2 linked regions of the Coturnix japonica genome follow. The main gene of each other region encodes a partner of the protein of the gene in region 2 in a complex. Links are inferred from orthologs where the notes say so. Each region holds a gene or a part of one and is shown on either strand. Other genes may lie near its edges.

Region 1 (12,056 bases), on a different chromosome or scaffold from region 2:
TGCAATGAAACAAGTCAAGGTATGTTCTTAACACTCTGGAAAGATTTGTTTTGAAATAAATTCTAGTTGCTAGAAAATTTCCAAGTAGATATTACCAACTGCTCTGTATTGAAGCAGGCAATCAACAATACCTCACAGTAACATGGGAATTTATGGAAAAGGCCTTTGAGGGTGAAAACTGCAAGTTTTGTTCCACTATTCTCAGACTGCAGTGCTTTCATAAGTTTATCTAGTTTCTAGTCTGTAATTAACTTATGATTATCAATTCTTTTCAAAGCACTGTAGTACCGCTATTGTCTGCCTCTCTGAAACTGAGCATATGATCTTGCCCTCAGTCATTTAACTTGCAAAAACAACTGAAGTGGTGGAAATCATAAACCCAATTTGCAGCTGTTTCATTTTGATTCCAGAACTTTCTTGAACAACTGGAATACCATACTGCAGAGGAAACACCCCCAAGAAGTCATACGTTGTTATTAGCAGTTCCATAGCCCACATCTTTTCCAGGACAACACTAGAATTATGGTACTACTTCTTTTAGATCAAAATGTTGCTACTGAAAAATATACTGCCTCCAGATTAAAAATGGGAAAGATACTTTGCAGCACACTTTCAACTTCGACAGCTTCACTTTCTGACTATGGCTTAATCTTACTTAAGGATGTATTTCCCTCAGCTAATAGAAAGCTAAGGACTTAGTTGCTCACAATCACTTCTCCAGCGAACTGAGCTTAACTACTCATTTGCTCTGACCATTAAACATGAAACAAAGCTGCACGTTGCTCTTAGTTGCCCACATTCAAGTTCTTGGCTGTAGATGCATTCCTGAGGCTTGACATCTGCTGCCTCAAGAAATAACACTCCAACAAAGTACAAGAACCAAACTGTGGCAAGTTCCCCAAACCTGAGTATTTATTACTTGTACTCTTCTGATTACTACTATAGAACGCTTATACCACTGAACTAAACCAGAAACTTGCTTTAAGACAAGTTGATAAAAAAAAAAAAACAATCTGGAACTAAAACAGTTTCAGCCAAAAAACACTTACTGTAAGAGCTACTAAATACTTCAACTAAAACTTGATGTTTCGCCTTCATTAAATATCAGGAATATGAACGCATGTGCACATTGAAATATTCTTTTAATTTCTTACTTTTGGGTCATAATCAGGATCATTTTCTTCATCTGCTTCTTCTTCCCCCTCCTGAAAGACAACAGTTGTTTATATTTCACTAACTTATCCACAATCAGCTTCCCAAACCATCCTCAAGAACACTGAAAGTTCCACTCCAAAATACTTTCACTGTCACTTCAATTAATGCATACTGTGGGCCATCTACAAAGCACATCTTTTGACATCAGTTTCAATTTGATTTGTAGTATTACTTCTGTTATATTGTTTGCAATTAAATATTCACTCCAGATCACAGAATACAACAAGCTGTTGCATCTCACATTCATATGTACAACTTAAACTTAGCTTTTACAGCATTTATAAACTAGAGGAACTTACTCCATGCAGACTACAGGAGGGAAGCTATTTAAATCAAGACAATCTGTCAACTTACCTCGTCATCTGCCTCTTCACCTTCTTCATCATACTAGGAAAGAAATAAATAGTTTTGACTGTCATAAACATAGTCATTACAGGCATTAGTTCATTCAAGATAACTGAAGTTGATGCCAGGAGCCATACACATGGTACTATGCTTTAAGAGAACATCCTATATTTGACAGATTAGAAATAGCTCTATGAATCAGCATGAAAAACATTCAATCTCAAACTATGCTCTGGCAGAGAGCACTTCCTGCCTTGCATTCCTTATGTGCAACACTGGAAGAGATTATTTAAATGGTAATATATCTGTCCAACAAAGTGTCTTGAAGTATAAAGCAGTCCATACAGTCACTTCTGTCTTCTACCCATCGACTGCCACAGTTCTGGACTAAAGGTTACTATTCCACATTCTAAACTGGACTTAGCTTAGCTAAATCAACTCAATAGATTTGCTACATTTGTCAAGCAATCCTAACTTGTGAGGAGACAGAGGAAAAAAAGTACTTTATAGTTCTTGGGTTTTGCAGTTTGTTTTTCAGCTTTAGCATCTTTAATGTATTGAATTCAAGCTTCTGAAGAACATGTTTTGAAAAGAAGTTTGCAAGCTTAGAATGAATTTATCTCCCATTTTCTAAAGAGAGCTCTCCTGAAATGATCAAACCTGAACTTCAAGAACTCAGTAGCCATGCAAGTATAATGAACAGGCTGACCAGCTACATATGTGGACTAATTTGTTTTCTGGCAGCTCATTTTTCTATCAAAGCATTGTGCACATCACTCTGGGAATGACTTGTACACACACTTTTATTCAGACATCACTCTAAGTGGTCACCAATCAGTGCTTTTGCCACAGAACTCTGAATTCAGTACTTGGAAGGTTAAATAAGGAGCAGCATGAAGGTAATTAATATCCTAGGAAATCCACCATAAACTGATGCTGATACCTCCAACTCTAAGGATACTAACAGTAACTATAGGAGTCAGAAGTTAACAAAAAACTTTAAGCAACTTTCTATAGAGGCTTTTAACACTCCAAAAGAACATTACTTACATCATCATCATCATCTTCAATAGCTTCTCCTGTGAAGTACAATACTGATCGGGGGACTATACGTTCACGTAAGAAATGACCTATTTCAAAGTCTGCAGCAAGGATTGCCTCAGCATCATCGTCCTGCATAAAACAATTTTATGTTCTAAACCATAAGTTGGTAACTACATTTGACACCAAAACACAAGTTGCACAAATATTGACATTGCCAGATTTACACAAATCCCCATCAGTTTTTGGTTCAGGACAATTATAGAATTGAGATTATGAGATCAAGTTTTATACTTCAAGCATTTCCGCACATTATAGAGTTCAGGGTTTGCTGCTTCAGCAAACTTAGCCATACAAAGCTTTGGAGTTTAAATTTCCTTCTTCCTCTACATAGTCACTTAAAACTATTTTTCTTCTTAAACATAGTATTATCCCTAGATTTTCACTTTGCATGCACAGCATTGAGAACTAAATACTAACCAGGTGAAGCTTTCTAAGTAAGCATCTTCACAATTCTTATTAATCAACCCAATGTAAAGCTCTTGCACACCTGAAAAATGCTCTAAGTCACAAAACACTATTAAAGTGAAATGAACTTTGCCATCCTTCTACCAAAGAAAAACTATTCATCACAAATACTCCCAAGTTAAAACTGAAACAATTTAAATTCCCAAACAAATCCCAGAAAGCACATTGTACACAACTGCCTTTCACTGGCAATTCCCTCACCCCCAAACTCTTAACTTCCAATAAGACAACTTACCAGTTCTCCACTTTCAGGAACTGTGAAGGAAAAAAAAGAAGAAAACAAGTGAATGAATTATATACAACATTTAATGTTAATGCAAATACACAAAGATTTTGTTTACCTTCAGGGGGAGTAAAGAAGTTGAAGAAGGAATCATTGGAAACAGTTTTTGTCACTGTTCTAACTGTTCCACGACCCTTGTGCTTCTGCTTCTTTTTAATTGTTTTCAAAGTAACATTCTTTCCTTTTTTCCAGTCTATTTGGCAGCTGGGGAAGAACGAAAAGAAGTTGTAGCTTAGAATATCTGCTATCGCTACCAGTATTTAGAGAGGCTATCCCAGTTTTAAGAAATATACTGAACATGAAATATCAAGGTTATTTGCTGTTTGCAGAGGAAAAAAAAAAAAAAAAAGAATCTTAACCACAGACTTGACTGACACTCACAAAGTATTCTGGGGTAAATGTAAACGAAGTCACAAAAATAAGGCTGAAGAAGTTTCTTGACTAGATCCTTTATAGATTCAAAGGAAAGAGGTGAGATGTTTAAGGGTAAAAAGCTGCTGTCTTAACACTCCCAGTCATTGCTTTGCATAAACCATGTTCATAAAGGCAGAGTCATCTCACAGGGATCTCTGCCAGGAGACATGCTTTTCAGTAACAGTCCAAATTATGGGAGACAATACAGTTTGATCTATTGTACTCAAGCAGACTAATTCCTACAGGACTTTTGTAGCAATGTATTACATTATGTGACTGGGAAATGAAAGAGCAAGCATCAGTCAGTATCAGTAAGTGCACAGTAGTGCATGGGTAAAACCAGCTAAGGAATTATAGCTAATTTAGAACAGAAGAGACCACCAAATGTGACAACTTCAAAATCACGAGAAAACTAGAATTAGATATAACTGTTCTCTACTTCTCAAATAGATTAACTGAAAGATGCTCAGAGAGGCAAACATTCAACTATTATAAACTGGACAACAGCAATACAGAACATAAAAACGGACTTGCCTTCTCAAATAACTGAATGTCAGAAATATAAAAGGCTTCCAAAATGTGATCAAATAAGGTTTTTAAAAAGCTATCAAGGCCCACTAAATACTACCCAGCTTCAGTTGCTGCAGAACACAACTTACAAAGTGTATTAAATTTGACTGTATGCATATATAGATACTATCTATGTACTTATAAATTGCATCAATGTTTAGATCACACAGTATATAGTTCTTATATGTATATATTACATGACAACAAACTGAAAGTAACACTAGGTGGATACATGAGGAAGAGAGTCCTCAATGTTTCAAACTAATATGAAGTTATAACAGTTTTCAAAACAGTTAAGTTTTAACCTCAAACTTGAGCCTAGCTATTTCCAAGTCACTAGGTAACTAAAAGCTTACACTTGGATAATACGGAAGAAACAGTTATATTATCTTATGGCTATTCAGCAGCACTTACCCTGTACAGCCCATGATTTCCGGTCCATCAAAGGAAAAGGGATCAGAATCATCTGGCTCTGATCTCATTCTATATGTCTTTGTCAACACTTCATTTGTGAAGTAGTCATTTGGTTCAAAGTGAAATTCTAATGCAAAGCTCTTAAGAAAGAATTGCAAAGAGACAACATAAGCAGTCTAGCAAAACATACCTTTAATTTCTAAATACTTGAAGATCAAAATCAAAAACAAACATGCAAATGAACATATCCATCTCTACCAACACTGAAGTGGTGCATGCACAACTTATCCAAGAATTTGCTGCCTAAATTGAACAGTCAGTATTCAGATGTTTACTTTTACTATGCTGACCTTGTGTCATTGATTCAAGCAGTATATTAAGAAATGAGCACAAGACTTCACATTATGTACAGATTTCCTGGTGCTACGTTATAGAGATAAAACAAATATATCTTTGTAAGTTACTTGGTCTCTAGAAATGAAATGATATTCTTTTATAGTAGCTATACAAAAAGTGCCTCAAACTGTCAAAATATAAAGATAAAACCAAGTAATCAAATACTATGGTCAAGTTATTAACTCAATAGAATCTGAAAGTTAAATTAAGTGTAATTCATTCATACAGTACTTCAGGATTAGTCTTTGTACTGCTCTTCAGGGGACAAGAAACTAGCCATGCGTTTCTCAGGATTGCCTTAAGACAACTGCTTATTACAGATGGTGTTATCAATATACAAATACAAGCCTTCAGATAACACAGAAAAACTTGTTTAAAAGGTTAAACTAACCATAGGCTGTCCAACATCTGAAAACTTCACTTTTATATCTTTTAAGTGTTTCAGGATAGGTTCATCGTGTTCCTGTAAATAGAAAAGTTAATGAAATTTTCATAAGGTTAAATTGTACACAGATTTAAGACACAGAGATAAAAAGGTGTATTTAGAAGAACCAGTGAATCTCATCAAGAACCTTGTCCAAGCACTGAAACACTTTCTTCCACGAATACAACCAGCAGATGGCAATAACAGCAGCTCAATTTTCACTGTGGTTCACAGCTTAAATCTCATGCAAACTAAATACAAATTTCAGTGCTAGTACATATTTCATGCAAACATTTCTATATATATATCTTACTAATGGACTTTCTGTGTAAAGTTACAACTTCAACAAGTAAGAACAAAATAAGATATTTCAGTGTGCTCTGTGCTCTGAGTAGAATAAGTGACCAGATAACATCCAAGTGCCAGCTTAATTTTTACTCTCTAAAAGACATCGAGTACTATAACCATTCCTTCTCTTTCCTGGTAGAGCACATTTGGATTAAATACTAAAGCAACATCAAAGCAATCTGGACTACTACCTACCTGAACCATATCACTGAGCAAGTCCACATTCTTAAATACCGTCAGCCAAAATTCAGGAATTCCTTTAGGGTCTTCTTTTTCTTCATCTTTTTTTTCTTCTTCAATCTTGGCTTTCTCTTTCATTTCCTCCTTGATAGAATAAAAATGTTAGTTTCTCTAAGCTTTAAAAACCATCCTCCATCAAGTTTAACCATCTTCAGCTGATTATAGTGCACATGAAGTTTCATGCATGTGATTTAAGGATGCAATTAATAATACACAGCCAATCATTAAGAAAATTCTCCTTCTGAGAAAAATGTATTTACTCTATTGAATCTAATTTCATGCTAAAGGTGGGAATATTGATAAGAATTGATTATGATACTCACTGAAATCTCTTCTTCAGTATCTGCTTTCCATTCACATTCTTCCTCTGTAGGTTCATAGATTGCATTGATGATCTCGCTTCGCTGAAAAATTGAACCAAGGATACTTTCATATGTTCTAGTTATTGCAATTAGCCGTACTCTAACCAATAAATTGCTGATTCTGCTATCACAAAGTACTGTCTACTTAACCAAACAATTTCTTGCTCTAGAAAGATTCAGCAGTTACCAGTGTTTCAATACACTGAAGAACCAACATGCAAGAACGGTTACCACATAACCTAACATCTGCTCAGTTAATACGATGAGGCCTAATATACTAAGGTGACTTTGTTAGCCATGGAATAGACAACACTTCATCTTAGCTGATAGTCACATGGACAGCAAAATAGTGTAAATTCAGCTGAATGGGCACATTAGAGACCAAGGTAATTCAGAACACATAAATAAGCTTCAGTTTATATTCCCTTTTGGTTTAACTAAAGCTTTTAAATACAAATAAGAAAAGCATTAAAATACCTTGTCAAATAAGGGCTGATAGAGAGCAGCGTATTTTCTTTCCAGCTCATGAACTTCCTCATAGAACTTTGCTTCTATCTGTGCACACTGAACTTGAAGATTCTTGAGAGCATTCACACGTCTTTTAACAACTTTAGGCAAGCTGAAAAATACAGTGACAGAACTGTTACGAACATTGCATTCTATGCACATGTTGACCTCTCATTAACCAGCTCCTTTCACCAACACATATCAAAATGGATTTCACACTGCTTTAAACACTAGAAAACTGCAAAAAAAGTCAAAGTTACGACCCACTGTACCATGTGGAATAAACTTAACACAGACTCTTAAAACAGGTATAACCTGACTTAGAATAAAAAAAAAAGTCAAGTCTCTGAATACGCAAACTTGTGTAAAGCTTCACACTGACAGCAAGTTTTACCTTACCACCAAGCAGCATGGCAAATTGCTAACATGGAGCACAATCAAGGATGAGCTAACTACTTGTTTGTTTTTATGAACATTCAAGACAATTGAGTTATTACTTCACTAAGGAAGTCAAGCTTCACAACCATTATTTTTGTTTATTCAGGAATGAAGCTATCACTGCTGTCCCTTAACAGTCTCCCAGAATAAGCCAAAACCATATTATATACATATTACAGGCAAACAATTAGTGCAGCCTTCATTATAAGCTGTTGTGAAACTTTGATTAAAGTTGTATCTGACTTGTAGAAGACCACACTAACAAAGTTAGAGCTGGGGCAGAAATTAACCTGCACTGTTAGTGAAATTCATAGGGTAGACTGGTGACAGCCTCTATCACTGATGATGTGAGCCAGTCCCCAGCATATAGCTACAGCAGATTACCATGTTAACCTTCTTTATTTAAGGAACTGGGTCACATCATTAAGAGCACAATGGCAAACAGCTGCAAAAAAGTGAAAAACTGTTAGGACCAGCTTCAGGTTAGTGGAAGCAACCAAGAAGGTATTAACTAAATACTGCAAGTTCGTATTAATTACTAATGCCACCAGCCCCCACTTAAGTAGGATATTTGATAAGACATGTAAGAGGTCCCTGTAAAGCATGCTTAAATCAGCATGTATATGTTAAGGAATCACAGAGGAAAGTTACACATTTTCCAGCTATTATTTCTATTGTAAGTTTGGCAAGCACTTGATATTAATGGTAAAGCTGCAATGCTTTGCAAGAAAAAGAACTATAGACTTAGAATAGATGAAGAAATGATGCAGTATCTCCAAGAGCAGCTGACAGGGGAAAATGCCAAGTAAACAGAAGTAGGACTTCTGTTCACTTCTTACAGCTAGGACTTGAAAGATTAGGAGAGATGAATTAATAACTGTCAAAAAATCAACATATTAGATATAGAAAGCCTTAGTGTACAGCATATAGAACAGTGTAGAGAACCTATGTACTCCTTTGACTCCATGCTCTTCCTGGGCCTGTAGTTATTAGGGTAGGCTATTAGTTGCCTGTATTTTCTTCTATGCTACTGCCTGTAATACAGGAAAGTGGTAGGAGTAGCAGCAGCAAATCCAGTCATTCAGTAGCCATCTCAGATAACATCAATAGCAACACAGGATCCTATCACAGTCAGATAGTTCTGTGCTTTACAACTTGTGCATATGGTCAGAAGTTCACACAATTAGAAATTACACAAAGGAGATAGATAAATCTGTTATAGCAGATGCAGTAAAGAAAACTTTAGTAAGCAACAGATTGTTTCAAATTGTATAAGGAGACTACATTAAGTATTGATACAACATTCCCAATTTGTGGTTACAGTATGACCACAAGTGACCACGTACTTGCCCATGTTTCAAATTAAAGCAAAGCTGAGAAAACATTCTGGGAAAATATCTGTGCCTATGTGTTATGGTTTGAAGAGTTAACCACGTGACACCTCTCCCTCCCCTTGGGCAAAATGCAGAGGGAGGAAGAGGGGAAAAAAAATCTGATTGAGATAAGAGAAACAAATTTATTAAAAGGAGCATGAGATAATACAGAATAACTAAGAGCAGTAAATCAAACAAAAAAATAAAACTAGAGGAGAGAGAGAATCAGAGTCCTTATCAGCAGAACCTCACGGCTGTCCTCCTAGAAAAGACAAGAGAGTTCTTCCTCATCACCAAGAGTTGGAAATCATGTGGAGGCCCTTGGGAAAATGCAGTACATCTCAGTATCTTCCCCTTGGAGTGTAAAAACTCACATGAGACTGCTATAGTGAACCAGGAAATACAGCTCCGCAATGCAGTGCTGAATCTGCGCCCAGCAGCTTGCCGCATGATGTCATGATAAGGAACATACTGATAAAAGCAGGACAGAATGACATTTTGCAATTGCACGTGACATTATCTGCCACTAAATATTTCTGCATTTTTTACTTCAAAAAGGCTCAAACAGAAAGCCTTCAGTTTTGAAATGCGTCAATTCCTGATTATATTACTTTCCTGCTACCTAGGCAGAGCAGTGGTTTATGATTAATCTTAAAGACAATATTGTTCAGGAAGCAAAAGCACATTTATATCACTCTCCTCATACTGAATTAGAACAAACATTTTACCTCTCTATATATCCTGTAGATGTTCCTACCAGACCATCAAGTCTTTCCTGAAGAGCTGCAAGAATCTGAGGATTTTGCATCATCTGCACAGTCAACTGTCGAGCTAAAATTAAAATGAAAATTCTGTAAGTGCAGAGCATATCTTCTAGACAAGGCTTGAAAGAGATCTAAATACTAAGAAAAAATATGAAGTGAATTTCCTGTTATTCTAAGAAGAAACACAGGCAGAATTTTTTTTTTAAAGTGTCTCCATTTCAGATGTGCTGATCACACAGAATCACAGAGGTTGGAAAAGATCTCCAAGATCATCCAGTCCAACCATCCACCTACCACCAATACCCTCCCACTAAACCATGCCCCCTTACTACAAACAATACAAACAAAAGTTGCAATTTTCATTCCATTTTAGATAAACAAGACTGCTTCAGACCTGGGTACTGAACTGGTTTACAAGTCTATGCTTATATACTTTTGTCTTGAAAAATAATAATTGCTCATTAGAGCTACTTCCCCCCCACCCACCACCACCAAAACGAACAGCAAAGCAATCCAGTCAGCTCAGCCTGACATATTCTTGATTACAGAACATCAGTGCTAAATTCTTGATCTCTATTATCTACATATTCCAAATGTAATTTGCCCAAAACAGTAAATTTGTTTCAAATCATGTGGTAGAAATACATTTTGGAAAACACAAATTGCTAGCCTAAGTATTTCCATTGCCCAAATTAACATCAACCTTTGCATTTCAGCTCAAAGTCCACACCTCAGTAGCCTGCAGAAAGCAACTTAAATTCATCTTTAATTAGAATTCATAATCATTTATAATCATGTTTTGCTTCTACCTTCATCCTCAACATTTTCAGATACACAAACAAAAAAAGGGTAGTTAGGTACTGGAATAGGCTCCCCAGGGAGGTGGTTGAATTGCCATCCCTGGTTGTGTTTAAGAGCCGTTTGGATGTGGTACTCAGGGATATGATTTAGTGGAGGGCTTTTAGAGTTAGGGTACTGGATAGGCTGCGGTTGGACTTGATGATCTTCAAGGTCTTTTCCAGCCTGGATAATTCTATCGTTCTATGACTCTAAGTTACATTTTTTTGGCATTTGATTCTCTATTTCTAAGCCCTTTGCTAGAGTAACCACATGAATATTATTCTATGCATACAAAAAAAATTACTAGAAAACTAGCAAAATAACTGCTTGATAACATCATTTTGCAAGTCATTTAAGTTCCCTAACACTGAAACATGCTTCTTACTTACAAAACCCAACTTCTCTCCAAGACTCATATAGTGTAATTACTCCCCTCAGATCCTCACATACAATTGCTGGGATTAATTACTAAAAATACACATTACTCATCTCTAGATTCCTTTGGGACACTTGAGTACTTACCATTTAATTAGTGAAAGCTTTTCTTTAGCCACCCTGTGTTATTCAAAGTTTTGCAATCCAGTTTTGAAAGCACTTTCAGCAGATACAAAGCCCTAAACCTAATCCTGAAGAAAACTGTTTTAGTGTTACTATTCTGCTTGAGCAATCATGGAAAGGGGTATTATCAATGATCCAGACTATCATCATCTCCTAACAAATGGTTTTTTCTCTTTCGAGTACTTGCTCTTCAGGGGAAGGATGAAGGATTTATTATTTATAAGATCAGCAACAACACTTTAATTCTGCTCTCAAACAATTTAGCAGCCAATTACTAAGAAAAGATCAAAATAATACATATATGCAATTGATTTTTTTTTTTGGAAAGCGTTTAACTGCCATTAGATTCCAAACCATCCGATAACGATCTTCTCTTTTCCAGTTATATGCTCGTATAGGTGGCCAGCACTGCTTGCACCGTTACTGACAATGACTAAAATGCAACTGAGACAACAGAAATCACAAAACTGAAAAAACCCATTGCTTCAGAATTCAAACAGAGTCATGTATCGGTAGTTATGATTCAGCACTTCCCTTTAAAATATAAAATCCTTTTAACATTGATTAGAAACCAATTCCGCAGCAACTGAAAAAGCTTTCTTTTCAATGTTACCTTTGCAGTTGGCATCTTCACCAGTTTCCTCTTCTTCCACATCTTCAACATCTTCCATATCTTGTTGATCAAGTTCAGACTGTTCTTTGCTGTTAGGAATATTCAATAATAGGATTGAAAAGTTTGTGGCTTTTTTTATCTACAATAAGCTTTAAAAGTACAAGTTACAGATCGCGTTGGTAGAAGCAAACAGCTGACACACTTGGGAAAGGTTTAATAGCTAAAGACAAATTTGTCTTTATAAATTCAGTGTCACTTTCAGACTCCATATGAACTAACAACTTTTCAGGTGTTTGAAGATTCCTTTTCACAAAATAATTCCTTCTGTTCCTATCAGCATGAACAAGTTCAAGACTCCCCCCCTTCTTCTGCCCTAAACATCC
Region 2 (12,800 bases):
ATCCTGCAAGGTGTTCTCTTCTCTTATGTTTCAGGAACATGCAGTCTGTCTGTGCACAGTCTGGGAAGCAGCCCGGAACGTCCTGTGAGGTTTGTTGCAGTTCAGAAAGCTTCCATGGTCAGAATAACACGGGGTTTATGTTCATCGCTCCCACGCTGCATTAAATACACCTCGAGGAGGAAACATCCTATACCACCACACCTCATTAGGAAGAGCTTCCCAAGCTCTGGAACACCACAATGCAGCTCAGCCTGCTCTGACAGGAAAGCAAATGAATCATCCACATCTGCAGACTTCAACAACAACAACATTAAACCCAGAAGTTTTCCAAGGAGGACAGATTCCCCCCCTCCCTCCAGCCCTGCTTTTCTGCTTCCATCTCCTCTCTGTGGACCATTCACTAAGAGGAGATGGTACTTCTGCATGGGAATTTCCACAGCTCAGCCCTGCAGGCATCCTGGGGCACGAGGATAGAAAGGCTTTGGACAGAAGCTGCTTGACTTAAGGACAGAACAATCATTTTGAAGAGCTGCTTCATTTACAGCCAGTTACACAACCGTGTAGTAATTCTAAATTTAGAAAACGTGGCTATTTTGCCTCAATTCTAATAGTGTTTCAAGGAACTTGGACTCGAATGCTGAACAGAAGCACGAATATTTCTTGCAATAGCCATGAGAACTCTTCACTTGGATGGGATGTGCATCCTACCTTCCAGGGAAAAACAACTTCCATCTTCCACAGCGGTCCGAAGAGCAAAGCCAAGGGATGACTGCAGCGTTGGGCCCTGCTGGAAATCTGATCAGAGCAAAACTATTGGGCAGTGCTTCCTGTGCACTTCTGAAAAGCCAGATATTGGGGGAGCAGCCAGAAAGGCAGCACAGTCAGTGCAGCAGTGAGCAGAACTCCCCTCTGAGCAGCAGGGAAGGCAGGGGATGGTTTAGTGCAGCTGTGGAGTGAAGCTGGGTAAGGAAAGTATAAAGGTGCCTCTGATCTGTGCTGCTCAGGTTCTATGCCTGCACCAGCACAGCTGCAGTCAACAGTTTCACTGTGGATCCAGCACTTTCTGGCTGCATTGCTTCCCTGCAAAATCCTTACAGCATTTATACCTAAATTAACTCCAAAGCCACTAGGTTACCCACCACTTCACACATCTGAGGAAACAAATCAAGCCTGAGTCCCTCAATAGAAAGGTATATAAAATGCCAACCAGTTTCCAAGCGTTCCATTTTCCACATTCGGAATAAGCCATGCATTACAGTTTGGAGTGAGAATTATTTGTCTCAATAGACACAGTCTGTAATTACACCGAGGAACGTCAAAGGTTTTCCCACCACCCATACAGCTCTGCTCAGAAAAGGCCAAATGGAGAAGGCACGACCACAGCACCAGCAAAGCAAGGTCAGGGCCCAGCAGCACTGATGATGTAGGTGTTACCTGGAGTCACCTGTGGGGAAGGTTTGTCACCTTGCCAAGGCACTGCCACATCAACACCAGGAAACACTTGGAAGATTAAAAACGCTACTTCCTAAGTATCCTTATCAGCAGAGGAGCAGGGCTGTTTCTTGAAACAAAAGTGATTCGTATGCAAAATTCTTTTATTCCTGCTGTTGTATCCTTTCCAAAATAAGTAAAGAAACCTAAATCGGCTGTGATGGAACTAATTCCAGCTCTATCATCAGTGTACTTCACATTAAGCAGAATGCTCAGCCACAGACAGGAGACAGGAGTGATGTGCATGCAAGTCCCATCTTTGGGCTCCAAACTGCTGTTAGAAGCCTTCAGCTCCCATCCCCTCCGGTTCAGCAGCACTCTCCCTCCAGCAGCTGAACGCATCACTGTGTTGGAGCTGTGCTGAGTGCAGCACCACATGGCACACCACTGCAATTTTATGCTACAAAATGAAGGCTGCCTAACAGTGAGGGCAGAGCTGCCCAGCTCTTCCTCAGCCCAGCAATAGGCTTTGAAAGGATGCTGCTGTAAATGCAAACGGAGCTGTGAATTCAATTGCTCCTTGTCTGGAAGCTTCAAAACACAGCACCCACCTTTCCTGACCTGCACATCTCTGCCCTCACCTCCCATAGCAGCAACAGTGCTGCCCATCCGCTCACCAGGAGCTCCAGCATCAGCTGCTGAGGAATAGGAAAAGAGCTTTGCAACTCCCAAAAAGAAAAGAAATCACAGTGTATAAAGATACAGATGGCTCATTTTTAAGACCTTACCCACTGATCCCAGCACACATGCCATGCAGTCAGGGGGAGCAGGGCTGCAGCTGTTCACCTCTTTTCTCTCCATAAAGTGGAGTCAAAGCCTACACCACAAAGGGCAGAGAACCAACGTAGCACCACCTATCTTTTCCCTGTACAAGCATATATCCAAGGCAATTTGATACCAGAGTCCAGATGCATCAACAAGGAGCATATCCTAGCTTCCACCTACACCAGCATACATGGAAGATTCCTGCCTGGTTTCCAGTTTCCACCTGGGCCCTCCTCTGCCTGCTCAGCCCTCAGCCCTCCCACTGGGCTCCCTTTACCTTTCCCATACAGGAGGTAAGCACTGAGACACCTTCTATCAAGAGCTGCTTTCATTCCGTCAAGCCCAATGACCTCACCGTTAAGGGAAAATGGAAAGTGCATGGAAAAAAGCCCCAGTGCCACCACAAAGCCTCCCTGCAGGCTTTTTTTTGTTCCAGGACACACTTAGCATCCTCCTACCAAGCAAGTGGAGAAGCTTCAGCTCAGAGCACTGGTTTGATGCTGATGGTGGGAGGTAAGGAGTGCACAAACAACGAGGCAGGTTCCTCCCAGGGAGCATTCAGGAAGGTGTTAACGCCTTCTGAGCCCCTGAAATCCCACAAGCAATTAAAACAGTCACAAGAGATGAAGTTCTGAGCTTCACAAATGCCAGTTATCTTCCAGCACCAACGCAGATGCTGAGCAGTAAAAATAGTGTCTTTGCTCTGAGGAGGGAGCTGAGGACAGCTGGCATAAGCAAGACCTTGTCCCAAAAACCACCCTGCAAGCTTGTGCCACTTAACTTCAACACAGGACTTTAGCCAAAACAAAAGCAACTTCACAGAGTCACTTACAGCCAGGTCCCTGCAGAAGCCTCTGCTGGAGCTGCACAGCAAAGATGAAAGAAAACTTCATGACAAAGTCACAGCAAAACACCTCACTCACTCTCATGTAGGTATCTCAAGGCCTGGCACAGGATCCAACCAATTCCTCCTGAAGGTTTTAGTGCACCTCAGGTTGTGTGCTAGTCCTAAGAGCATCACTAATTGAGCTGTCTCTTTCCCTTTCCCAACTAACCCAGCACACCTGTGAGCCACAGAACTGGCTGCTCAAGGGGAGGCTTTGTCCATTTTAACAGTAACACTCCTGGCTGGGGTGCAGGAGCACTAATTAATTGCTGAGCCCAGGTGGCCGCTTGTGCTCCCAAATTATCAGCTCAGCACGCACACAAAATAACTCTCCATACAGTAACAACGCATACTTATGTTGTGCAGGAGTCCATTCTGCAGTAAAATATTAATGATGATCCCCAAGTCGATCTGGCAAGCATCAAATAAAGCAAAAAAAAACAACTTGTGGGTACGTGACCTTGTAGTGAGCACTCACAGGCAGGACTGTCTGACGTGGCTCCTGTTTGATGCAGTTCCAGTAAGCCCTTTCTTCCCTCCCATCTCTAATGGCTACGGATGTCAGGTGGTTTCAGAGCACCCCTGGGAGACTGACTGAAACATCAGATGCAAGAAGAGGGTTGGATACAGCTTCGCAAGGGATACAAACCAGTGCTATTGGTTTATGCGTGTGGAATCTGAGTGCTGCACTGAGCAGCATTTACTGCTGGCTCTGCAGAAGGAGCTGCACCCACACACAGCAGAACTGCCCTTGGTCACCTGCTGGACCTTGAGTGTTGTGCATCACCATGCGTGGACACCTTGCCCAGGTTTAGAGGTTTTTAAGGCTCTCTATGCTCTCTGCAGTTGCAAGGTGGTCATCAGTGAGGTCTGCTGTCTGGAGTGCTCACACTGGGCTGGTGGTGGCTGCAAAGGGACAGAGAGGTGAAAGCACAGACCTTCAGTGAATGGGAACATCTTCTCCCATGGGATAGAAAGAAAACGACTCCTAAGTTTAGGTCAAAGTAGTGATTGCATGACAGGATTCAGACAAGTATTCATGCAAATATTGAATTTACGTGGGAATAACAGCTTCAGAAAGTTCTCCTGCAACCTGATATTCATATCTCAATGTTTGAGGTCAAGAAATCACAGCAGTGGAGGCTGAGAAGGAACAGAAGGGCTGTGTGGGATGAAGCAGAGTTGAATTCAGACTAGAGGAGATAGCATCAGAACAATTCCAGCTAGTGAGCTGATCAGCCATGGGATTTGTGCCTGGGGAGCCCCAGACAGTTTGAACTGGGCAGAAAAATGATGCTGAACAGACTGAGAGCCATCCAAACCAAGTGGTTCCGAAGCTAAATACTCCCCAGAGACCCCATGGGGTCTCTACAGGCTGCCATGTAAACCAGAAGGTGCTGCTGGGACACAGCATCACACCTGGGTGCTGCCGCAAGCAGTTCCATCCCGAGGCAGAGCACAGGGCAGGAATTCAGCAGCCTGCCCTGCTGAAGGCCTTCTGATAAGGTGCTGAGACACAACACCTGCACTTTCTGCTTCCCCCATCTGCACAAGAGGCGTATCTGCCTTGCACAGGCTTTGGGAAATTGAAAGGCAGAGAAGAGCAGTGAAGCTTCCAGGTGAGAGGAAGAGGGAGGAAGGTAGCCCTGTTTTAAAGCTCCCTACAAGACTCACTACTACCTAACTTGGTCAAGCACTTCTGCAAAGAACCCAAAGGCAGCTCAGTGTGTGGAAGGAATATAACCCACACCTGAGGAACCCCGATGTTAAAATTCAGCTGGGTCCAAACCTCTGCTCATTTATTAGAGAAAGCATCAGGTGCCCCCAGCACTTAGCAGTGTAACTTCTAAGCAACACATCCATCCAGCACCATGAAGACAAGCTCTAGCAGCCAGAACTGCTCTGCAGGTTCTCTGTGTGACAGGACCGGGGTCAGACAGGACATGGCTGGCACACCTCTCTGGAAAGGGAAGTGTTTCCTTCCAGGGCTGTCTGGGTTTTACATTACTTGGCAACAATGATTTCCCTATGCTCTGAATTGGGAAAGCAGCCGAGGAAGGCAGGAAAGGAGGATAGAGAGGAGAAATCCTGGCTCCTTTTTACTCACGTGAATGTCACGATGCTGCTAATGACCATCAGAACCAAAGACTTGGAAAATCTCCTTGTTCAGGTGGAAGAGCCAGTGGGCCAAACATCAGCTCAAACTCAAGAGAAAGCTTCTATTACTTATTAACATCAGGAATGGCGTGGTGGGGCTTAAGCAGCAGCCTGCCTTCCACTTCCAACAGGAGAGAACAAAAGCATTCAGCTTCTAGAGGCAACAGTAACCACTATCAGCTCACATATTCCCTAGTAGAAAGAAATCATTCCTGCCCCCAGTAGCTGAAAGAAAACACAGAAAAGCTCTCAGATCATAACCCAGTTTTGGGTACACAGAGCAGCTTTTAGGATGGCAACAAGTGCCCTCTGCAACCCATGGTCTGGCTGCACCAGGCCAGGTTATCATTCCTGAAGACATCAAATAAACTCACAGACAAAGGTACTTGAAAGTCAGAGCTGCAGCCAGATGTACCTGCAGACACAGCTGAGAACAGCAGCCACAAGCCAGCAAACCTCAGACCCAAGACAACCACATGGTGCCCATGGTTTGCTCCCCTCAGCCCAGGTAGAGACATCAGGCTCACCTGGTGCCATAACACAAAGGGGCCGGGTCAGCAGACAGCCAAAGGACTTCACTTACCACCACGAAAATGGCAAAGCCCTGTGTGTTCCCAGCAGCGTCAGGTTTGTTTTTAGTAATCCCACACTGCAGAGCAGCTTGTACACAACGCCTGGCAATTTGGTTGTTGGGCAGCTTTTCAAATGGAAAAATCAATACAGTAAGTACACCTGAATTCTTCAAAGCACTTAAGAAACTTCTCCCTGGGGTCTATTACCTGAGTGCAGAGATGCCTATATCACAAAGACCACAAAAAGGAAGAGCCTTTATTTATGTAACTGCCTTCTGATCCCCCCCACCCCATCCCAGGCCTCCCTAATGCTGCACAGGGGCACAGCTATCCAGCCACCAAAGAACGAGCACTTAGGGATTCAATCCATGTTAGCTCCCCCATCCTGGGGTGGCCTTGGATGTCAGAAAACACAGCCCACATTGGGCCAATCTGTGCTGCTACAGCACACACAATTTGTATCTAGAAGCCGCAGCGATCGAATCATGATTTCTTTAGGGAAAGAAAAGGTTTTTTTTATTTAGGTAGAAACACACAACACAGCAATATCTCTCCCTGATGCCCGTTTTCATTTTGCTTATCTCCAACCGGTCACGTGTTTAATGACACTATCACCTAAATATAGCTCATCCTGCTCACCATCCTACCCATCCCCATAGACCACCGCACACCTCCTTGCTTGGCATGTTGAGCTGCTGGGAGAAGTCAAAGCAGAGAGGGCCCAGCAGCCCCTGTGTGTGCCTCCTGTGTGTGCCTCCCTCCTGCCTCGCTCAGCACAACGCCCGTGGCTGGCAGCCCCTTTGTGCTCCATCACAGTGCCCTTCTCTTTTGTCTCTGCGCCGTCGGGCTGTGCACAGCTCAGTGCTGGGTAGCAGGGATGCCCCAGAGACATAGAATAGACTCAGTAAGGTGAAGCAAGATCACTCAAATCATCCATTCCAGCCGCCTACCTGCACACTGCGTCCCTAAGCATGACATCTACTCATTCCTTAAGCACCTCCAGGGATGGTGACTCCCCTGCAGCCCATTCCATTGCCTCATGGCTCGTTCTGAATAGAAACCCTTCCTAACACCCAGCCCTGCAGAATGGAGCCGGAGGGGCTCATTCACACAGCTGGAAGACATAGGTGTACACACAGCTCCAGCCAGCACTGGCGTAAACAAGGGCAGAGCCACTGCTGCACTGCCAGCTCCCTATATATATGCAGGGATGCTGCATGGTGAGACAAGCATCCCTCCACACGCATCCCAGGCCTCTCACACAGCCCCAATGGCTCCACACAGGGATACAAGGCCCAGCCCAGCATCTCCATGCACTCAGGGCCCACCCTACATCCCGCAGCCCCCCAACCCAAGCCGGGCTCGACCCCCACGGCCTCACCTTGGTCTCCTTGACGTGCTGTTTGATTCCCTCCGGGTACCACTGCACCCTCACGTATCCCCGTCGCAGCGGGCTGGCTCTGCCCTCCTCGGTGCCTCCAGCCCCGGGGCCGCCCGATTCCGACCCCCCCGAGCTGGCAGCTCCCCCTGTTCCCCTTCCACTTCCCCCCGGTGCCGTCGTCGTTTCTTCATCCTCTGAATCGGAATCTTCGCCGTGAATGAGGCGAACCAGGCCGAACCTCACCGAGCCGCGATAACGACCCGACACCAAGTCGTGTGAGAACAGAAGGCGCTGAGAACCGCCCTGAGGAGCCGAAGGGGGTAAAGGCAAAGCGGGGAGCGGGGTCGGGGCGGAGGGAACCGGAGCCGCCTCAGCGGGGAGCTCCGCCATGGCGCCGGGACGAGCGGGAGAGCGCGGCCGGCACCGGAGGGGGAGGGGAGGGGCACGTAGTGCGTCAGGGGGCGGGGCTTAAAGGGACACGCCCAGTGCGTGGCGACGCTGGCGGGGAGGGCCACGCCCATCCAGTGGGAGGGGCAGAGAGGAGGGAGGAGGGCTGTCGGGTGGGGGTGTGTTCTGTGCTCCGGGATATCCCGGCTTTTCCCTTTGTGAGATGGGCTCTCTCTCTGCCCGAGGCTCATAGGAGAGGAGAAGTGAAGCGATGTGTCCTCACATCTCCACGGACTGGTTTCCAAGCGCTGTTATGGCAGCCGTGCTGCCCATCATCCCCCCATTGCACGTAGCTAATGACACACAGATATGCTCAACAAGCACCAACTGCAGTGTATCTAGCACTATCCACATTCAGAACCATCCCACGCTCTGCTCCGGACCCACCGAACCCTTCAGAGCCATTTACCTGTACAGGCTGGGCCTTGAGAGCAGCTCGGCAGAGAAGGACCTGGGGGTCCTGATGGACCAGAGACTCAACATGAGCCAGCAGTGCGCTCTGACAGCATGGAAAGCAAATGGGATCCTGGGCTCCATCAGGAGAGGGGTGGTCAGCAGGGATAGGGAGGTGATTGTCCCTCTCTACTCGGCTCTTGCGAGGCCCCATCTGTTGTACCGTGTCCAGGTGTGGAGCCCTCAGTACAAGAAAGACATGGAGATTTTGGAAAGGGTCCAGAGGAGGGACAGGAAGATGATCAGGGGCTGGAGCACCTCCCCTATGAGGACAGGCTGAGGGAGTTGGGTTTGTTCAGCCTGGAGAAGAGAAGGTTGCGGGGTGACCTCATTGCAGCCTTTCAATACCTGAAGGGAACTTACTCTTCCCTTAAACTCTTGGAAAGGGCTGACAATAGCAGGACACGGGGAAATGGTTTGAAGTTAAAAGAGGGAAGATTTAGGTTGGATGTTAGGGGGAAGTTCTTCACTAGGAGAGTGGTGAGGCCCTGGAACAGGCTGCCCAGGGAGGTTGTGGATGCCCCGTCCTTGGAGGTGTTCAAGGCCAGGTTGGACGGGGCCCTGGGCAACCTGATCTAGTAAAGGTGTATGTTTGGTGGCCCTGCCAGGCAGGGGGTTGGAACTACATGATCCTTAAGGTCCCTTCCAACCCGGGTCACTCTGTGCTTCTGTGACCCGGTTTCTTTTGGTCCCGGTTCCGGAGCGTGTAGCGCTGCTGCCATCGCGCGGGCGCTGCCCGGTGCTGCACAGTGTGTGTGTATGGGCGGCAGGGAGGGGGAATGCACGGATCCCTATAGCGGAGTCAGAGCAAGGTGTAAAACAGGAGTGGCAGCATTGTCTTCAAAAGATAAGGCTGCAGATACCCCGAACTGGGACAGCACAGACCGTGTCCCCCCTGCAAAGCCCGTCCAGGAGCGCTGCTCTGCAGATGCTGAGTGCTGCTGCACGGCGATATTGGCCCTCCTCAGCTGTAGGAGCAAACAGAGATTGAGCCCTGCTCTCCCTGTCAGCTCACCCCAAGCACGCAGCAATCAGCTCAATCAGCTTTATCCCCCCGCAGGGAGTCATGCCAGGGTAAAGAAATCAGCCTCAGCTGCTTGACGGGATCCTTTGCCTGCTCGTCATCTTAAAGCCTCTCACCTCTCCTGTCTTTCATCACGGTTATAAACCCCTTAGATCTTCATCACGTGCTCCATAAATAACAAATATATAAGCCGGGCTCTGTGTGTTCCTGCAGCCCCATCCCTGCTGTCCCACGGCCACGAGGAGTCACAGGATCAGGGTGAAGAGGAGCAGCACCACGTCCCCATCCCCATCCCACAGCCGGTAAGCCCAGAGTTTCTGGGACCTGGTGATCCCCGTGGCTTTGGGGATGGCTGGTGAGCTGTGGGTCACTGTGTTGTTCTGGGCTATGGGGAATAGCCCTTAGATGGGAGGGAGCTGGGACACTGAGCTTGACTTGCCTTGGATTCTGGAGGTGAGAGCATCTCTGCATGCAGGTGCTTTGGGTTCTATAATGCACAAACACAAAAGGAGGGGACAATTTGACAGGGTGTAGTTGGTGTGCTAATTTGTGCACCATGACATATGGGGATGTGGAAAGGAGCCACAGGCTTAATAGACCCCAGGGTATAAACAACTATAAGAACGTGCAGGGGGCTGTGTTAGAGCTGGGGAGATGGGTTGATAGAGCTGGGAGGAGAGGGGTTTCCTCCTAACTCTGGTTATCCTCACTGTGCTCCCATTGACCTGCAGCCATCTCAGTGTGCATGTTCCCTGCATGCCAAAGACCTTTGTGTGTGCAGGGAGCTGAGGAGCTGAGCAAAAAAGAAACACAACTCCAGCAGCCCGTGTGACCTGAGCTGCCACAAGTGCTGGAGGGGAAAAGATTCAATGAGAAGGATCTGGGAGCAGGCTGTACCCTGCTCACTTCTCACACTGTTGTGTTGGGGTGCTGAGAAGTTTCTATAAGCACAAGGGGTGTCTGAGCCAGCCCAGCCTGCTGCATAGCCCTGATGCAATCAGGGGATGAGCAGATCTGACACCGAGCTGTGAATCCTACAAACATCACAGCACCCCATTCCTGCAGTGCTGTCTTGTTTCACTCCCATCCTATCTATGGGAGCACAAAGCACTCATTCCCAGCACCAGTCTTGCACTTACCCCTTGGCAATGAGAACTGGCACGAGGGATGCTAAATATTTCCCCTGTCCCTGATAGCCTTTGTGCCCAGAGAGCACATCACAGCTAACCCAGTGATTCACTGAAAGGGAATCACAGCAACACCCCATCTCACCACTTCCATCACCCAGCTCTCAGCCTTTCCAGATGGAAAATTCCCAGCTTGCTTTGGCTCTGCCCTGTGCAACGCTTGTGCTGGTAATGCTTTTGTTTCTATAAATCCTATTAGCTGGAGGCAAGCCTATAATTAGCAAGGAAAGCCGGCACCTCTTGAACAATAATCAGAACTGACCTGGCTCCATGCTGGCTTTGCTGTGAATTGCTTTGAATATTGGCTGACCCGTGGCTCCCGCTTGGCTGGGAGCTGCTGCCACTATTCCTGCCCGCAGGCCAGGGGTGCTCGGGTTGCACTTCTCTCTGGGTTTATTAACTTGGTTTGATCGGGCATGAAACATGAGGTGGATTTATGACACAGAATCTGACCCAAGCAGAGGGATCTGGCTGAGCTGTGTAGGGCGGGTGGTGATGGATGGGACAGAGCAGCAGGGACTGTCCTGGGGTATGGCTGTGGGACCCATAAAGGCTCTTTGGTCAAGGCTGGGGCTCTGCTTTTCCCTGCAAGGGAACACTGGAAAACTGCTCTCCTGAGCAAGCTTCTACACAAGCATTTGCAGGGTCCAATCTAACATCTATTCAGCAAAGGCACCCTGACAGCACACCCCTGGACCTCCCAGCCTTTGGGGTGGTTGTGACCACAGGCACTGGAGCAGCTGCAGATGAGCTCATCCTGCCTGCTGGCTCATCTCAGCCAGGCTTTCCAGCATGGCTATGACTTAAGTGCCCACCAGGGGCTAAGCCGTGTCATTTACCCCCTGAACAAGCTGGGAAAGCAAACAAACCCCCAGCAGCACAAGCATGACACAGAATCACAGGACACCCTGAGATGGAAGGGATGGATCATTAAGTGGAAGCCCAGACCCCACACAGCACCACCCAAACCCTACAGCTGAGAGCAGTGTCCCAACACTCCCTGAGCTCTGGTGGCTCAATGCCGTGCCTGCTGCCCTGAGGATCTGCTCCATGACCAGCACCCACTGATACAGAACCTTTCCTTAATCCCCAACCTGATCCCCTGACGCAGCTCCAGGCTGGTCATCTCCGGTGCATACACAGCACTGATGTCACCTTTATGACCTGGATAGGGACAAGATGCTCAGCCCCAACTCTTTCCCAATGGGACTGGAGGTCAGCAGCAGTGCACAGCTCGTGCCAACTCCCAGGGGTGACAGCAGGGTTGCCGTGGGTGGGGATTTGCTGTATCTATACACACACGTGTATATATAGCTAAAGGATGCCAGGTAGCCTAATCCCATGCATAATCAACAGGTATTTTCGACAGCTAAGAGCTCAGGAAGAGATTGGCTGAAATTAAGCCGAAATTAAGGGTGCAGTGACACTGCTGGGGCCCGGAGCTGACAGAGCTGCCCCATACGGAGCAGAACAAGATGCCGATGCTCAGCGCGGTGCCGTTCCTGAAGCCCACCCCCCCGCAGGGACCCCGCAGTTCCCCCGGCCGCCAACGCCGGCACACACTGCCCGCCAGCGAGTTCCGCTGCCTCAGCCCCGAGGATGCCGTCAGCGTGTTTGAGATCGAGAGGGAAGGTAAGGAAAGAGCCGCCCCGTCCCCATCCCACCCCAGCCCGGTGTCAGAGCCGGGAGCTCAGCGCCGTTCCCTTTCCAGCCTTCATCTCTGTCTCCGGCGACTGCCCGCTGCACCTGGATGAGATCCGGCACTTCCTGACGCTGTGCCCGGAGCTCTCTCTCGGCTGGTTCGAGGAAGGTCGCCTGGTGGCTTTTATCATCGGCTCCCTATGGGACCAGGACAGGCTCAGCCAGGTAGGAGCCGGGCACAGGGTAAGTGGAGTGGAGACTCGTGCTGCCCTGCACGGCCCCACTAATGGCCCCGTTCCCTCCCTTACAGGCAGCGCTGACCCTGCACAAGCCTCGGGGCACAGCAGTGCACATCCATGTGCTGGCCGTGCATCGCACCTTCCGACAGCAGGGCAAGGGCTCCATCCTGATGTGGCGGTACCTGCAGTACCTGCGCTGCCTGCCCTGCGCCCGGCGCGCCGTGCTCATGTGCGAACATTTCCTCGTGCCCTTCTATGAGAAATGCGGTTTCAAGGCTGTGGGTCCCTGCCAGGTGACGGTGGGCGCGTTGGCTTTCATTGAGATGCGGCACGAGGTGCGGGGCCATGCCTTCATGCGCAGGAACAGCGGCTGCTGAGCCCCGCAGCCCAGCTAACGCGGCAGCCCGTGAGCCGTCTCCATCCCCACCGTGGCTGCACAGCTTTCCCTGCCTGCCCACACATCTGCCTTTCGGCCAAGGGATGAGCCTGGCCCCCAGCCCATCCCTGTGCCTCACTCTCCCAAGGCTGGGGAAACACTCAGCCTGCAAGCACTGAGC

What was found.
Region 1: the proteins of UBE2O (region 2) and NAP1L1 are in contact, whole or in part, in a cryo-EM structure (PDB 7UN6), measured with the Homo sapiens proteins. The link is inferred for Coturnix japonica from reciprocal best matches to the Homo sapiens genes UBE2O and NAP1L1. Residues at the interface, in NP_071349.3 of Homo sapiens: Ser225, Asn226, Val282, Lys283, Pro284, Val285, Lys289, Ser290, Lys291, Phe292, Arg293; in NP_001317160.1 of Homo sapiens: Arg333, Arg337, Thr343, Gly344, Glu345, Ala346, Ile347, Asp349.

The regions. Positions count from the first base shown.
Region 1 is NC_029516.1:34,427,587-34,439,642, forward strand, and holds part of NAP1L1 (nucleosome assembly protein 1-like 1), read right to left. Parts: intron 11,763-12,056; coding exon 11,674-11,762; intron 9,730-11,673; coding exon 9,627-9,729; intron 7,200-9,626; coding exon 7,058-7,199; intron 6,623-7,057; coding exon 6,542-6,622; intron 6,303-6,541; coding exon 6,174-6,302; intron 5,670-6,173; coding exon 5,598-5,669; intron 4,951-5,597; coding exon 4,811-4,950; intron 3,617-4,810; coding exon 3,471-3,616; intron 3,385-3,470; coding exon 3,365-3,384; intron 2,734-3,364; coding exon 2,611-2,733; intron 1,603-2,610; coding exon 1,570-1,602; intron 1,206-1,569; coding exon 1,155-1,205; intron 1-1,154. UniProt on the Homo sapiens protein: Histone chaperone that plays a role in the nuclear import of H2A-H2B and nucleosome assembly.
Region 2 is NC_029533.1:3,799,861-3,812,660, reverse strand, and holds the start of UBE2O ((E3-independent) E2 ubiquitin-conjugating enzyme), read right to left. Parts: upstream 7,706-12,800; 5' UTR 7,643-7,705; coding exon 7,253-7,642; intron 1-7,252. Other genes in the region: AANAT (serotonin N-acetyltransferase), read left to right, coding at 11,839-11,995, 12,075-12,229, 12,315-12,620. UniProt on the Homo sapiens protein: E2/E3 hybrid ubiquitin-protein ligase that displays both E2 and E3 ligase activities and mediates monoubiquitination of target proteins. Negatively regulates TRAF6-mediated NF-kappa-B activation independently of its E2 activity.